Linked DNA regions of Tamandua tetradactyla. The protein of the gene in region 1 purifies or fractionates together with the protein of each later gene. This does not show direct contact. Links are inferred from orthologs where the notes say so. Each region holds a gene or a part of one and is shown in the gene's direction. Other genes may lie near its edges.

The links. Proteins that work in one complex are often made in the same cells at the same time.
Region 2: the proteins of IGF1R (region 1) and ARRB2 purify together in Homo sapiens (affinity purification with western blotting; 4 studies listed by BioGRID). This does not show direct contact. The link is inferred for Tamandua tetradactyla from reciprocal best matches to the Homo sapiens genes IGF1R and ARRB2.

What each region holds. Positions count from the first base shown.
Region 1 is NC_135338.1:85,577,752-85,585,673, forward strand, and holds the start of IGF1R (insulin-like growth factor 1 receptor), read left to right. Parts: upstream 1-2,831; 5' UTR 2,832-3,029; coding exon 3,030-3,123; intron 3,124-7,922. UniProt on the Homo sapiens protein: Receptor tyrosine kinase which mediates actions of insulin-like growth factor 1 (IGF1). Binds IGF1 with high affinity and IGF2 and insulin (INS) with a lower affinity. The activated IGF1R is involved in cell growth and survival control.
Region 2 is NC_135332.1:60,672,037-60,679,958, reverse strand, and holds the start of ARRB2 (beta-arrestin-2), read left to right. Parts: upstream 1-3,476; 5' UTR 3,477-3,487; coding exon of another isoform or gene 3,488-3,510; intron 3,511-3,747; 5' UTR 3,748-3,749; coding exon 3,750-3,802; intron 3,803-6,405; coding exon 6,406-6,436; intron 6,437-7,070; coding exon 7,071-7,131; intron 7,132-7,243; coding exon 7,244-7,288; intron 7,289-7,509; coding exon 7,510-7,706; intron 7,707-7,922. UniProt on the Homo sapiens protein: Functions in regulating agonist-mediated G-protein coupled receptor (GPCR) signaling by mediating both receptor desensitization and resensitization processes.

The sequences.
Region 1 (7,922 bases):
AACTGACTCGCTGAATTAAACTAAAAAATAAATATGGGAAATACATAGGGAATAAATACAGGAATAAAAGGACTAAGTTTCTGTTAGGATAGCTTCTGACTAATTTTCAGCTCTTAATAATTTCAGCTCCTTAATAATTATTTACCAATGACAGGATGCTTAACGGAATATTTTACAATTAGAGAATAATAGAAGAAATCTACCTTTCCTTCAAGAACAAGTCTCTCTACCAAACAGCTTGATTGTTTGAGACAAAACATCCAGACATTCACAACTCTTATTAGCCATCTTCTTTTTATTTATTACTGACATCAAATAGCCTGAGTCACGAACGAACCACATTTACAGGCGACACGTGGCCCAATCGCTATTTTTAAAAGTCCACGTATTTCCAACTCCTTTCTTGCCAACTGCTTCCCACTTTGAGGACCTGGTCTCTGCAGCATTTATTCATCAGACGGGAGTCCTGAGGCAGACCCGCCTCGGGGAAACCTCTCCTCGGCACATTTAAGGAAACCACAGAGGAGACTTGGGATTGGTGCTGGTATCTGGTCACTTACGTAGCACACGAAGCAAGAGGGACGTGCCCGGGAGGACCCGAGGCAGGTGCGGGTAGGTTTCCGCAGTGGCCACTGATCCCGGGTGTGTGCGGCGCGTTCATCGAGCTCCACCCGAGCCAAGAGACGCGTCCGGTCCCGGGCCGGGCCCCCCGTGCCTCCAACCTCGGGGAGGGGGAGGTCCTCGGGCACGCCCCCTAGTCTCGGGGTCCCCGCGACCCAGCACCGCGCGCGCACCCCGGCCGCTCCCCGCAGCCGCCCACGTGGTGGAGCCCTGAGCAGCTCCAGGCCGTGGGCAGCGCGCGGGGCTGGGAGGCCCGGCCCCAATGTCCCAGCCGGCCGGCCCCAGGCGGGCCCCAAGCCCGGGCCCCCACATTTCCTCCCCCGGAGGGAAGGAGGCGACACTCTGCGGGCCAGCCCTCCCCAGCGCCCCCTGGCGGCCGCCGCGGCGATGCGCACTAGGCTCGCGGGGCCGCCAGTCTGGGCCCCTCCTTCCCAGACTCGCGGCGGGCGGTGGGCGGCTGGCGCCGCTCTCCCCTCGCCCCCCGGGGCCGCGCCCTCCGTCCAGCAGCCCAGGCGAAGCCTGGACCTCGGGGCTCCCCAGCCACGATGTCGCGAAGGCCCACGGAATTGCGTGAATGTGCCCGCCGTAGTGGCCTGGAGGGGTCCCCTTTCTCCCAGGTGTGCCCCCTCCCGCCACGTTCGGGCTTTCCAGCACGCTGCGAAAAAATGCCGCATGCACACACTTATTTATTTATTTTGCAACAGCTGCAAGAAACAATGAAGCTTTTCAAGAACCAGGGAAACGCGCTCTCCAGCCGCGCTGTTGTTTTCAATGAACCTCTCGGGGCCCCGCGATCCCCGCCCACCCCGCCCCCTCCCATCCTCCCCACACCCCTCCACCCAGCCGGGGCCGGGGCCGGCGCCGGGGGCATTGTTTTTGGAATCCTGCGGGAGGGGAGGGCAGGGCGCGTGCGGGCTGGCCGGCGCAGTGCGGGTGGGGGTGAGGGCGTGCGCGCGCGCGCGTGTTTGTGTGTGTGTGAATGTGTGCGCGCGTGTGCCGGCGCGGGCGAGGGGCGGGGACGGCGATTCGCAAACCTCGAGCCCCAACGCCCCGGCTCCGCTCCGCACGTCCCCGGGATCCCGGGCTCCGGCTCTTGGCGCGCGCCGGCCTGGGCCGGGCCCTCCGCGCGCCGCGGCTGCGGCGGTGGCCGCTCTAGGGTGCGCGCGGGCGCGCGGCCCCGGGAGCGCGCGCGCGCGCGAGCCCCCAGTGTGTGGCAGCGGCGGCGGCAGCAGCGCGGCGAGGCTGAGGTTCTTGTTTACCAGCATTAACTCCGCTGAGCGGAAAAAAAAAGAAAGGAAAAAAAAAGAAAAGAAAAAAAAAAAAAGAAGGGGGGGAAAAAAAACCTAACAAAAACAAAAACCCGAGGAGGAGCGGAGGAGCGGAGGAGCGAGCGCACCAGGCGAACTCGAGAGAGGCGAGCGAGCGAGCGGGAGGGAAGCTGCCAGCGAGCCTGCCCCCGGCGCGCCCGCGGCCCGCGCTCGCAGACCCTCTGCCCCGCTCCCGGCCCCCCTCCCGCGCCCTCCACGCCCCTCCCTCGCGAGGGGGAGCGCCCCGGCCGCGCCGCGCGCCTCGGCTTTGACCTTCAGCGAGCGGAGCCCCCCGCGCGGAGCGCCGCGGCGGGCGGGGGCGCGGGCGGGGGCCGGCGCGGCGGGAGTGCAGAGCGCGGCGCGGCCGGCCCGCCGCTTTGTGTGTGTCCTGGATTTAGGAAGGAGCCTGTGGCGGCAGCGGCGGCGCTGAGGGAGGCGGCGGCGGCGGCGAGCGGAGCTCTGAGGAGGAGGAGAGGAGGAGGAGGAGAGGAGGAGGAGGAGAGAAGGAGGAGGAGGAGGAGGGGGCAGCCTCTCATTCATTTCGACTCCTCATTTTTGCCCCTCTCGGGCCTCTCCCGCGACCCGGACTTCGGGGGAAGATTGCGAACTGCGTGGCGCCCTCCCGCCGCGGCGGCTCGGGCGTCGGGAAGCCTCTCCCTGTGTTTGGGGTCGGGTTTGTTTTTCCTCGCCAAGACTGATTTGGGCTCTGCCCCCCCCCCCCCCTTCCTGCAGTTTTTTTTTTTTCTCCCCCCCCCCCCCACTCCTGCCTCTCCGGGTTTGAAAATGGAGGCCGACGATGCTGATAGCCCGCCCCGGCGCTCCTCGGCTTCCCGACTCCGCCGAGCCCTGGGCCGCGGCTGCCGGCGCTGAGGGGTCCCCGAGCCCCGCGCCCGTCCGCGCAGCCCGCGCGAAACTCCCGGCCGGCGCCTCCCTTCGATTATTGTTTCCCTCGCCCTTGTTTTTTGAAAGGGGGGGGGGTGCGAAGACTTGAGTTTGAGACTTGCTTGTTTCTTTTCCTCTCACCACCACCACCACCCCCCTTTTCTTTTCTTTCTTTTTTTTTTTTTTTGAGAAAGGGGAATTTCGTCCCAAATAAAAGGAATGAAGTCTGGCTCCGGAGGAGGGTCCCCGACCTCGCTGTGGGGGCTCCTGTTTCTCTCCGCCGCGCTCTCGCTCTGGCCGACGAGTGGAGAAAGTGAGTATGGGCCCCGCCGCCCGCGGCCACTGCGGGAACTTTTCCTCCGAGGGGCTGCGCCCTGTTGGCGAAACCCGAGTTGCCGCCGTCGCAGCTGTCTGGCCTCGGGCTCGGGAGTGGCCGGGCGGGCTGCGGAGGGCCGAGGGGTCTCGGCCCGGGTGGCCGGAGCGGAGCCTGGGGGTCCCGGCTTCGCGCATCCCGACTCGGGAAGGGCCTCGGGGGCTTTCTCTTTCGCCGTCCGGAGAGCAGGGCCCCGCGACCCCGGCTGGTCCGCGGCGCTCACTTCGGGGCTGCCCGGCCGGGGAAAGTTGGCGGCGAGGCAGGTCTCGTCCCCATCGGTTCGCCCCCCCCGCCCCCCGCCCCCTATGGGGTCCGCCGCCCGTCCCTCGTCGCTCCCCGGCGCGCGGGGCCACCCGCACGCAGCGCTGGTCCCGGCGCGGCGCACAGATGGCGGTGACAGCTACCGCGGCCGCCCGGTGCCCTCGCCGCTGGGGCCAGACGCGGTACCCAGAGGCGGGGAGTCGCCCGGCTCGCGGGGGGCAAGTTGTTCTCGATGGGGAGGTGGCCCGTGGGGAGGTCCCGCAGCTCAAGGACACGTTTCCAAACATCCCGGGGTGGCGCGGCGCGGCCTCCTGTCGCCCAACGTGCTTCACCCCTGGGGAGCTTTTGATTCCACAAATAGTTCCCTGGTCGCGTGAGCTCTTTAGGTTCCTGACCTTTCTTGGCACCCCGCGGCCGGTTACCTGGCGGGAACTATCTGCCCCCGGCGTCCCCGGGTTGCCCTGTGCGCCTCGAGGGTAGCGGAGAGTTCCCGCTGCGCTCCCCGACTCAGCCCCTGGGAAAATGTGGGTTCGGGGCTCCTCATAAGCCAGGCCCTTTGGGGGGGGACGCGCCTGTGCCCCAGTTCAGAGGATTCTGGGACCTACTCCCCGTTTCTCCCCGGCTCTGGCGGCTTTTTTCTCTTCCTCTCGGGGGGGTGGTGGGGAAGACGGGTCGTGGTGGTGGAGGGGACGAGGACCGCGTCCGAGAGCGCGTTAGTGCGTTGTGTGGTCGGAGTCGACGTGTATTTCCACACACGTGCTCGCAACCCCGAGGTGTGGCCGCCGCCACACGGCCGCGCGGGGACACCTAGACGCCTGCCCTGGCAAGAGGTGTCGTGCGCTGTCGTTTAAGGCGCGCCAGGATCCGTGGGGGTGGGGTGGGGTGTTTTGCGAGCGCAGAGCCCAGGCGTCGGTTGTGTTGTGGACAGAGCAGTGCTGCCCCCCCCCCCCCAAACTCGCCCAGCACTGCCTTTGTACGTCGTTAATAAGCAGTATCGCTCCACACTCGCTATCGCTTGCAATCTGATAGCTTTTGTTTGGTGGTGTCGGGTAGGGGTAGAGGAGCGCGCGGAGGGAGGGTGCGAGAACTTCGGCTCCCACCTTGTGTGGAGGGAGGCGAGGGAGGGGGATTTAGTTTAGTTATCTGAAAAAATTCAAGTGTGCTTTACTGGTGAGCTCGGGGTGGTAGGATGGAAAGGTAGTTTGAACACGATTAAAAAGTTGAAATGTAGTCCCAGAACTGGGGCAGGGAACGGTGAGGGCGTTGCTGGTGAGTAATGTTTGCCGAGGGTATGCAGGTGGTGCCAATTAACTTTGAAAAATCACGACTGAGCCTTGAAGAGTGAGGGGGAAAAGCGGGAGGCTGTGGGGGTTGTCTGGCCTCGTCACGGGGCAATTCAGAAAGGCTGTTTCTATAAACAAATGCTTCTTAAAGACGCCTTGTCCATGATGGAATAGGAGAAAAGCTTTACAGAATTAGCATGTTTACCACATTGAGTTGCTGGAAGACGCGGAATGGGCCGGGACCTTCCACAGATTGGGTTCTCCTGTTCTTTGTTTTCCAAACTTTGAGCACACTGAGAAAGGGCTTTCTTTCCCTTCTGCTAAGGAGCTCAGATGGGGTTTGGGGGACAGTGGAGGGTTTCTAGCTTTTAAAAGCTAAATATAGTTTAGAAGACACAGGAGAGCTAATCCATTTTACTGTAGCATGCCACTGAATTCCGTATAGTTCCTCTAGTTTTATTTTTTTTTAATGTTAGTAACTTCTGAAAATTCAAAATAGCGGTGATGGCCTTGATTCTCTGGTGAAAGAGTCGGGCATTTTAAAATAGGATGTGTTGTTTGGAGCGTTGCTGAAAAATATTCTTTGTGAAAGGCGGTTCTTTCTTGAGAAAACTGGAGAGAAAGGAAGAAATATTTTTACTTAATGCATGTTTATACTCCGGTGATACCAAAGCTCTTCTCACAGATCTCTTCAATGTGCTTGGTTCACTAAAGACCGAAGGATGACCAGAAGATACCCCAAATCCCCATTATGGTTTGTCGAAGTTCTGACTCGGTATCTGCCCCTCCCTACTTCTCTGAAGTTTTGAGGATTAGATGCTGTGCTCATGGTGCACGCACATTCAGTTCTTAGTCGGGAAGGTGCTAGGACTGTTAAATCTGATAGAAATAAGCTACCGAATCCTATCAGATACTAGCATTGTTTTGGCTGTTGTCTGTGTTGTCTAGTATAGTCATAAAGAGTTGGGTGTTTTTGGAGCTGGGTTGCAGATATTGTGCTGGCTTATTTAGGGAGTAGCGTCTCATCTTTGAATGTGATGGCAATAGGATGGAGTTTTTGTATTTTTTTTTCCTTAGAAAATTTAGAAGTTTTTGAAGCCGGTGAAGCCATATGGGCATGTTTGTGTGTTTTGTATCAATAGAATGCAGATGGAGCATCTAAATAAGGGAGGTTTGGGGTTTGGAAGTTATGAGTAATAGCCAAATAATCTGATGGCTGTATTTATTTATTTTTAAATCAACATGCACTTTAAACATATTGTGGCCGTTTCATTAAAAGGATTAAAAGGATACAGTCATCTTTCTGCCCCAGCACTGTAATACCCTATTGTCGTAGGTGTGTGAAATGTTGGCGTTCAAAGAAGTTAGTGTTTTACGCCCAGAAGGAAAACCCAGAATAAGAACTTTGGAAAGAACCTAAATAGCAAATTATAGTTTAGACTCTGTAGAGGGAGATAGCAAGTAAACAATATTTTGGGGATTGTTGGGGTATAGATCAGGAATCAGAGTTTAAAAGGTCATATGTTTGATTTGTCAAAAGTATGAGAAATGTCTAACCTTAAGAAATCTGTTAAGGTGGAATGGATGAATCTTGAAAACGTTATGGTACATGAAACAAGTAAGTCGCAAAAGACCACCTATTGTATGATTGCATTAGTATGAAATGTCCAGAATAAGCATATCTTTAGACACAGAAAGGATTTGGTGGTTTCAAGGCCTGAAGGAGAGAATGGTGAGTGACTGCTAATAGATACAAGGTTTCTTTTTGGTGAGATAAAGTGTCCTGGTTAGACCATACTGATGGCTGAGCAGCTCTGGATGTAGTAACATCTATTAAGGATTAAAATTATTAAGGTGCCCCCCCCCTTTTTTTCATTTCTGGAGTTTGTCATGCCCCAGAATTCTAGTAAAACACCAAACTGATAACTGAAGCTATGGCAGCAGGATTCCATACCATAGGAAAAATGAACAAGCAGGAAAAAAGAATCTTGGTTATATGTGGCTGGAGTTAAGGATTGAGGGGTTGGATTTAAAAACACAAATGCTGGTAAAAGTCAGATTTGTTACAGAGAAGTGCTCAATTAAATCGGCTATGGTATAGGTCTTTTCAGGATAGTTTGGGTTTAGGAGCTGAGCCTGGATGGCTGTTTGCATTTCTAGTTTTGTTATGCATGTTTTCCAACAACAGCAACAAAATAAAAATAATGTAGTGTTTTGAGATGGTAAATAATTTCCACTCTTTTTTTGATGTACCATATTCACTACCACTTGTGGTTAAGATTGAGGATGAACTGTAAATTTTAATGCAGTGTGATTTTTTTTCTTATTTACCTCTTAAATAGCTCTAGAATCTGAGCAGGAAAAGGAATCTTTGTAGGATACAGTAGTTATTTCAAGCATACAGTGATTTTTTTTTTTGGAAATTAAAATTACAGAACAAAAATACTTTAAAATATGGCTGCTTTGTTTTTTCAACTGTGGTGCCTTTTTCCAGATTTACCTTGGCCCTTAATAGGAAAAGACATAGAGAATAATTGCTGTTTACATTTGTGTTTGGTTTTTGTCTAAGGCTTAGTTTGCTAATGAAAATGTTTCCTGTCCTTCCTATTGTTGCAAGATCAGGGCGGTAATGAAAATCAACTGTATCATTTTCACTTGTTGCCTTAGAGTTTTGCCAAGGAGAGCCCTGGGGGACAGTAGTTTCCTTTTTAATATGGTTTCTTTTGTTTTGTAAGACTGTGTCTTATGAAGCAACTGAATCCAGCCAGCAAATAATGGGCACCTACTGTATGAAAGCTGTGCTCTTTGTTAGGCAGTGCGTAAGCCTACAAAGAAAGAGGGCTGTGCTTTGCCGTTTTATATACTGCCCCATGAAACAAAGTTGTTTGAAACTTCAGATCTTTTTCAGACCTGGTATAGGATACACAGTTTTCAAATATCCAGGGAGCACCATGGCATATTATAAACAATTCTCTAGACGTAAACTAATGCTGCTGATTTTGATGAAAGCCTGGGCTGTGGCATTTTTGCCTTATTAATACATTCCCTGGAATATCTCGGGAGGCCATGGCATTCAGGAAACATTCTCCTATCTCCTAGAGCAGCACTACCTTCCTGATAAAACTGTTAAGACAATTGTGATTAAAAACATGTGGTGGTGTAGTCTACCCTTTGCCAAAACTTTAGGCACCACAG
Region 2 (7,922 bases), on another chromosome or scaffold:
TTGTTCACTCTTTATTTTTTAGAATTTCTCTAGCTATACTTGAAATTGGGTTCTTTTGATTACATTTAGAATCAACTTGTCAACACCCCCTCCCCCAGAGAATCCCATTGTTGTTCTGATTGATGGGGCATTAAATTTATAGACAATTTAGGAAGAAATGACATCGTTTTAACATTGATTTTTCCCACCCAGGATATATTACTACCTTTTTTTTTTTAACATGACAGCATACAAAAATGAACACTCTTACCATATGATCATTCCATTCTTGGTATATAATCAATAACTCACAATATCATCACATAGTTGTATATTCATCACCATGATCATTTCTTAGAACATTTGCATCAATTCAGAAATAGAAATAAAAAGAAAAAAGCTTATACATATCATACCCCTTACCCCTCCCTCTCATTGATTGCTAGTATTCCCATCTACCCAATATATTTTAGCCTTTGTTTCCCCTATTTTTTTCCTATACCTCTTATCACTCTCTTTCCCTGATCACTAGCATTTCAATCTACTAAATTTATTTTAACAGTTGTTCCCCCATTATATATTTATTTTTAATCCCTATGTTTTACTCATCTGTCCATAAGGTAGATAAAAGATCAGACACAAGGTTTTAACAATCACACAGTCACATTGTGAAAGCTAAAATCATTATATAATCATCTTCAAGAAACATGGCTACTGGAACACAGCTCTACATTTTCAGGCACTTCCCTCCAGCCTCTCCATTACACCTTAACTAACAAGGTGATATCTATATAATGCATAAGAATAACCTCCAGGACAACCTCTCAACTCTGTTTGAAATCTCTCAGCCATTGACACTTTATTTTGTCTTATTTCTCTCTTCCCCCTTTTGGTCTAGAAGGTTTTCTCAATCCCTTGGTGCTGAGTAGCAGCTCATTCTAGGATTTCTGTCCCACGTTGCCAGGAAGGTTTACACCCCTGGGATGTATGTCCCACGTAGAGAGGGGGATACATTACTATCTTTTAATATGGTAGCTTTCATGTCAAGCGCACCACTGCCTTTCTGTACCAGTGGTACTTCAGATATGTAGCAATACAGATCTCATAAACCCTTTGTCCATAACCTTTTGTCCAAAGTCAAATTTAGATCAAATTCATCCACAAGCCAAAAAAGCATAAAGCTTGAAAGAGGTTGTGGTGGTTTGAAGCCTAATGTATTCCAGAAAAATATATTCTTAAATTTAATCCATTCCTGTGGATGTAAACCCACTGTAAGTAAGACTTTTTGATGAGGTTACTTCAGTTAAGGTGTGACCCACCTCATTCAGGATGGATCTTAATCCTATTGCTGTAGTCTTTTATATAAGAATGAAATGCAGACCAAGATAGAGAAAGCCACAGAAGTAAGAAATTGACATCAACAAAACTAGGAAGAGAAGGGAAAGACCAGTAGAACTACCATGTGCCTTGCCATGTGGCAGAGAAGCCAAGGATCTCTGCAGCCAGTCTTCGCAAAGAAAGCATTTCCTTGATGATACCTTGATTTGGACATTTTGGTGGCCTCAAACTGTAAGCTAATAAATTCCCATTGTAAGCCAACTCATTTCATGGTATTTGCTTGAGCAGTATAGGAAACTAAAACAGGGATGAAGAACAAGCTTAGAAGGTGGTGAGGAAATTGGGTGATGGGTGGTGGAGGGAAATATTGGTGGCAAAGCCTGTGTTTGAACTTTAAAGATCAGAAATTGTCGGGTCACACACATTACTTTTTTGGTTGCATGGAGAAGAAGAGGGAGACGTGTGGAAGTAGTTTGTTTAGGTGTACAGGGGAGTATAAGACAAGAGATAGAAGAAGGAGAAATACCTTCCCTACATAAGTCCAGAAATTCCAGTCATCCATCATCCTTTCCCAAGTCCAAGTCCAGTCAATTTTACCCCAGAAATGACTCTTCAGTCTGGTCCCTCTTCTCCCCTCCCATTGTAAGACTTCATCATCTCCCTTGACTAATTTACATACAGCTAAACTCCTTTACCTTGTCCCAGTCTTGCCCCATTACCTCCACCTTCCACATTGCCCAGATCTGTCTTCCTAAAGAAATTTCATCATGCCATACCCTTGCTTTAAAAAGCCGCAACTCATTAAATTGTTCTAAGAAATGATCATGGTGATGAATATACAACTGTGATGATATTGTGAGCCATTGATTGCACACCAAGTATGGAATGTTTATATGTTAAGAATGTTCGTGTTTGTATGTTGTTTGGTTTTCTCAATAAAAGTTAAAAAAAAGAAAAGAAAAAAGCCACCACTGGTGTCCTGAAAGAACAGCTTTAGCCTCATTCCTTTGCTGGCTATACAAAATCCTCCACAGCCTGTTCCCGTGCTCCTCTCCAACCCCATCTCTCCTGCCCTCTACCCCACAAACACTTCAAAACAGGAAGTATCTTTTGTCCTCCCCCCTTCCTTTTGGAATACCTTTTCCCAGCTTCTGCCCATCCTTCAAGATTGTCCTCAAATGTCCCCTCCTCTGGACAGCCCACTCAACCCCTCCCAAGAACACTTTGTCTTCTGAGTCATACCTCTATTATAGTATTCTTGGTCTCTTAATACCTATTTATGTCTCCCTCGACCCTTCGGAAGGCAGGGACCATGTTAATTCATTAATTCACGTCTGTGTCCCTATCGCCTAGCGTAAGGACTGGCACAAAATAGGATGGATGGAAAGGAGGGTGGATCCAGGGTGGATGGAGGAGAAATTAGGAAAAAGAATTCTGCGAAGAGCAAAGATAGACACCAGGGGGAGCTGAGGCACCACAATAAAGCAGGATGAAGGGCCGAATAAGGCTGCTCACTCTGGGGTGAGCCGGTGAGCAGCGCGCAGAAAAGGAAATATCACGCAACTGCAATCGCTCACCCACGTGTGAATCCCCCTCATCCTCCTTCCCAGAATGTGCTTAGGCTCATCCCACCGCCCCCACCGCCCCCAACGCCCCCAACGCCTCCACCGCCACAGAGAAAGCAAACAAAGGGGAGGTGACCCCTGCAAGGTCCTGCATGCCGGAAGCCAATCAGAGTCCTCCATTCTCCTGGAAGGCGGGAACCTTTGATTAAGAGAACCCAATTAGCTTCTAAGGGAATGTAGCGGGGCGGGGAAATGGGCAGGAAGAGCCGCGGTAGGAACCGCGCACGCCGGGAGAGCTTCTTCGCGGGGCTGGAGGGCGGAGAGGGTGAGGGCGGAGAGGGTGAGGGCGGAGCCAATCACCGCGTGTTTGGGAGGGAAGGGCGGGCAGCGCCGCGGCGCGCGCGATCCGGGTTGACGCATCTGGCCCCGGTTCCCCAGGATCCGAGGGCGGGGGCGGGGAGGGCGGACCGGGAGGAGGGAGAGGAGAAAGAGCGGAGGACGCGCGTGCGCACTGGCGCGGGGAGGAGTAGGGACCTGGCTGCGGGCGAAGAGGCTGCGAGCGAGCGGCGAACCCGGCGGGGCGTCTGACGGCGGGCGCGCGCACCATGGGGGAGAAACCCGGGACCAGGTAGGGAGGTGGGGCCACGCCGCAGGGCATGGGCGGCGGCTCGCGGCTGGTGCTGGGATGGTCCCCAGACAAGGACACAGGGGAGAGAATCCGGGGGGCCGGACTCCTGGGTCCCTAGGGGGCAGCCATCCAGGGCCGCACACCTAGGTCCTCGCGGATAATGGGGGCGCATGCCCGGGCCCCTTTAGGAAGCGAGGGCTGAAGGGGACCAGGAAACCGGCGTCTGGGTTCTTGTAGGGATGTGGGGGCCGGACGCCTGGGTTCTCCGTGCAGGCTGCGATGCAAGGGCGGGGTAAGAGCAGGTGGCCCCAAAGGGATGTGTATGGAGTGGCTGGACGTCGGGATAGGAAGCCCCAAAACTAATGTCGAGCCAGTGGAAAGCCTCCCGTCCAGTATCCCATAAGCAGTTGTACTGCCCCCATCTGTCCCGAGGACTGGGTCGCTCCGCTTCCAAACTTCTGCCTTCCCCCAGGTTGCTAACAGTAACACCTTCATCTTGGGGAAAGAGAGTTCATGGCGACCCTCCCCGATTCTGGGCCCAACTCCTCCCACACTCTGGGTATCGGGCGGGGGTGGGAGAGGGTAGTATCTGCCCTGGGCATAACATCTACTCCCCGGATGTTTTCGGTGCAATCGAGGCTCCTTCCTTCCACTGACACCCCGAGTTCTCTTTTTTGGCTTCTAGCAAAATGCACTTCCTGTTGTGACCCAACACCCCTAAGGGGGAAAGGGGTAGATGCTTAGTCCCTGGGAAGCAGGAGCAAAGAGTAAAAGGTTGCAACCTTATGCCTCAACTCAGAGGGGATCAGGACCTGGTCCTGAGCTATCACTTCTGCAAAATGTTATATCAGCCCCAGCACGCCCCACCCAGGGAGTATGAGAACCCCAGTTTCTAAGCGCCAAGTCGCCCAGTATTGGAGAGGGAGGACTGGAGGACACCCCAGAGAAAGCGGAAGTCCCTGACTTGAAGGAGGCCCCCAATTTCCGTTGTGTAGTTCAGGGAGGGGGATAGATGGACTAAAGTAGGACTGCTGACTTGGCAGTTTCCCCCACCCCCATCAAATTCTAGGCCACACGAAGTGGAGAGAATGGCAGGAAGTGTGAGGGGGCATCTCTTGCCCCACCCCCACCCTCACTGAGCACCTCCCTGGTCACCCCCTCACCCCACCTCCTTGGCTAACCTCAGTTTACACACATGGTTTCTACCTAGCATGGCAGGAGGTAGCTGGATTAAGATCCAAATGGCAATTGCCCCAGAGCCACACTTCACTTGGCCAATTGACTGTGGCTGTTACAACCCTCTGCCAGGGTTCCTAATAGGAGGAAACATTGAGACAAAGAGGGAACTCAGAGGTAACTGAGGTCAAAGAGGTGGGAAAGCCTAGATGATACCATTGCAATCAGTTCCCAAGTCGGGGCAAGAAGTGGGATGCTTTATTCTCCTTGATTGATTAAGGGTACCAGGAGGCATCTGTACCCTTTACCTTATGGCCTTGGGACAGCTTGGCCTTCTGGGGAAGAAGGGGCAAATGATGTTACAACAGAAATTGGGGCAGTGGGAATGGAAAGGGATGGGCCAACTGGCAGGATTTCAGTTTCTACTCTCTGGAGGCTCTTTCCAGGGATCACTGGTAAAGGTGAGTGGATTGGGAGGAGTAAGGTGGTGCAGCAAAGAACAGGCCCACAAGTGACCAGAGCACTGGAGTCCCTAGACACTTCCCTACCTTCCCAGCAGGGGATGGAGTCAAGGCTCAGATTGCTTCAGCAACAGGAAAGCAAATCTCCTCCAATCCAACAAACTGTTGCTACCACTTACAGAAGCAGGAGAGTACAGTAGTTTGATTAAGAGCATCGACTCACAGCCAGACTATCTCTGTTTGTATCTGAGTTCCACCATTTACACTCTGAGACACCTTAGACAAAAAAAACACTAGGCCTATGTCTCGGGTTCCTCACCTGTAAAACGGGGATATTGGGACCTCCCTCACTGGCTTGTTAAGGGTATTAAATGAGATAACACACATGAAACCCTCGAACAGTACAAGCATGGAGCAGTCACCCCATGGGTATCATCTGGTAGCACCATCTTCACCACATTGTGTGGGGGGCGGGGGCGGGGGTACACTGAGTAAGGCCTTGATGAGCACAGTCTGTCTAAGGAGATAGTCGGATGACACAGCTGGCTACCGTTGGTGTGCCATCACTCCACAGTTCAGACATAAACAAGGTATAACAGAAACCCCAAAAGAAGTGATCTGGGGTCTGGGCTGGGTCTCCTTCCCAAAATTGGCATCTGAGCTGGATCTTGAAAGATGAATTGGCTTTTAAGGTGTTGAGATCAGAGATGGGGATCGCTGGAGGTTATTGGAGTTGGTCAGACTTGGGTAGTTCCTGTGATAGAAACCATTTTAGGGGTGAAAGCTAAAGCCATTGATCTTCCAAGTACTCCAGCTGTCTCTGAGGTTGGGACCTCTGTCCCTTCGCTAAGCAGGCATGGACCAGAGCAGATGGAAGATGGTTAGGCCATACACAGACACTGCTGCTACCTGCCCATCCAGGTCTCCTCTTTAGGTCCTCTGGGGTAGTTCCTGTGGCAACCAGAAGCCATTACCATTAGGGGAGGGAGGCTAGTGAGGGTGGGCCAAGGATAAAAGGGGGATTTGCCATGACAACCAGCTGCAAGTGGCTGCTGTGTTAGAAATATTAAGAAGCTCTGGTTGCCTTTCCTTCTGGGAAGAAGTGGGAGGGGGAAGGACTGGGCAAAGCCTCAAAGCATCCAGACAGGAATCCTGGGTAAGAGCTGCTTCTGGCTGGGGAGGTTTGAGGTCCTGGTGTGGGCAGGGGTCCCTGCTGAGTCTAAGGGAGGCAGTGGGGTTTCCCTTTCTGTTTTGTTAGGGTCTTCAAGAAGTCGAGCCCTAACTGCAAGGTGAGTCTCCCACAGCGTTTATCCCCTTAACACTCCCCAGGCCCTAACAAAGCCCAGCCTGCCCCTAGATGGTCCCCAACCCCTAGCTCCCCACTTCCTGTGACAGCTAAGAGCCAACTTCCTTCCCTCCTGAAGCCCCTTGCCACAGAGGCTGCTCAGCCTGAGCTTGCTGCAGGGGTGGGTGGGGAGAGGCCTGAGTCTCTAAGCAAGGCCAAAGGGGATGGGCCCAGAAGCCCCGTGCCTGCAGCCCTCTTAGGAGCCAACCCCGATACCTGGGGCTGGGAAAAGTTAACAGCTCCCAGGCTATGGTCTGTTTATCTCAGAGCCCCTTGAGGGGAGTGATTGAGGCCCATAGCTGCTCCTTAGGGCTGAGGCCTCCCCAAGGACCCAAACACACACCTGACTGGTGAGCAGAGGATTGAAAAGAGGATAGGGAACAGCTGAAAAGCCTAAAGAATGGGCAGTCTAGGAAACCTCACCACCCAGCCCTTCCAGCGCCGCTGGGAGTTAAAGAGGAGAAATTCCTTCCTAATATCCGAGCCAGGGAAGACCCAGGTCAGGGCAGTCACTTGAGGATTCTGAGACCCCGTCACCCTCCTACCCAACCTCCCCTATGACCCCTCTACACCTTTAGCTCACCGTGTACTTGGGCAAACGGGACTTTGTAGATCACCTGGACAAAGTGGATCCTGTAGGTAAGTTTTCCCAGAAAGTGACAGCTCCTTCCCCAGGAAGGGATGAAGTTCCTGGGCCCAGAAATGGGGGAGAGGCCCTGACAAGAAATGAACCCATGTGTCACTTCCTTAGATGGCGTGGTGCTGGTGGACCCTGACTACCTGAAGGACCGTAAAGGTACTGACCCCAAGTCCGAGGGCCCAAAGGGAGGTAGGAAGGCGGGGAGGTGAGATGGGCTGGCCTTGAGAGGGTGCCCCAGAGAGATGGAGGGCTGAGGTGGGAGTGAGGAGTAGGATTCAGGCAGAGGTTATGCTTTGAGGAAGGAGCAGCTGCTGCTAGGTCCAAGGGGAACTGGGGAAGGAGGCTCCTGACCACCCCACCTTGCCCTCCCTTACCAGTGTTTGTGACCCTCACCTGCGCCTTCCGCTATGGCCGTGAAGACCTGGATGTGCTGGGCTTGTCCTTCCGCAAAGACCTGTTCATCGCCACCTACCAGGCCTTCCCCCCGATGCCCAACCCACCCCGGCCCCCTACCCGCCTGCAGGAGCGGCTGCTGAGGAAGCTGGGACAGCATGCTCACCCCTTTTTTTTCACAGTGAGGATACCCCCACTTTCTGCAGGGCAAGCGATCTGGGACTTGTTTGGAGGGTGGGGCACCTGTCATGGGCAGTTCTGGATGAACAGTGAGGCAGGGACCCCAGGTCCACCTCCCTTCAAGGTCCCTGTACTCAGAAAGCCCTTGCCTTGTTGCCTCCTCCCTGGGTCCCCTTCCTTCTTCCTCTCTTATCTCCAGGAGGCCTTTATCCAGCCT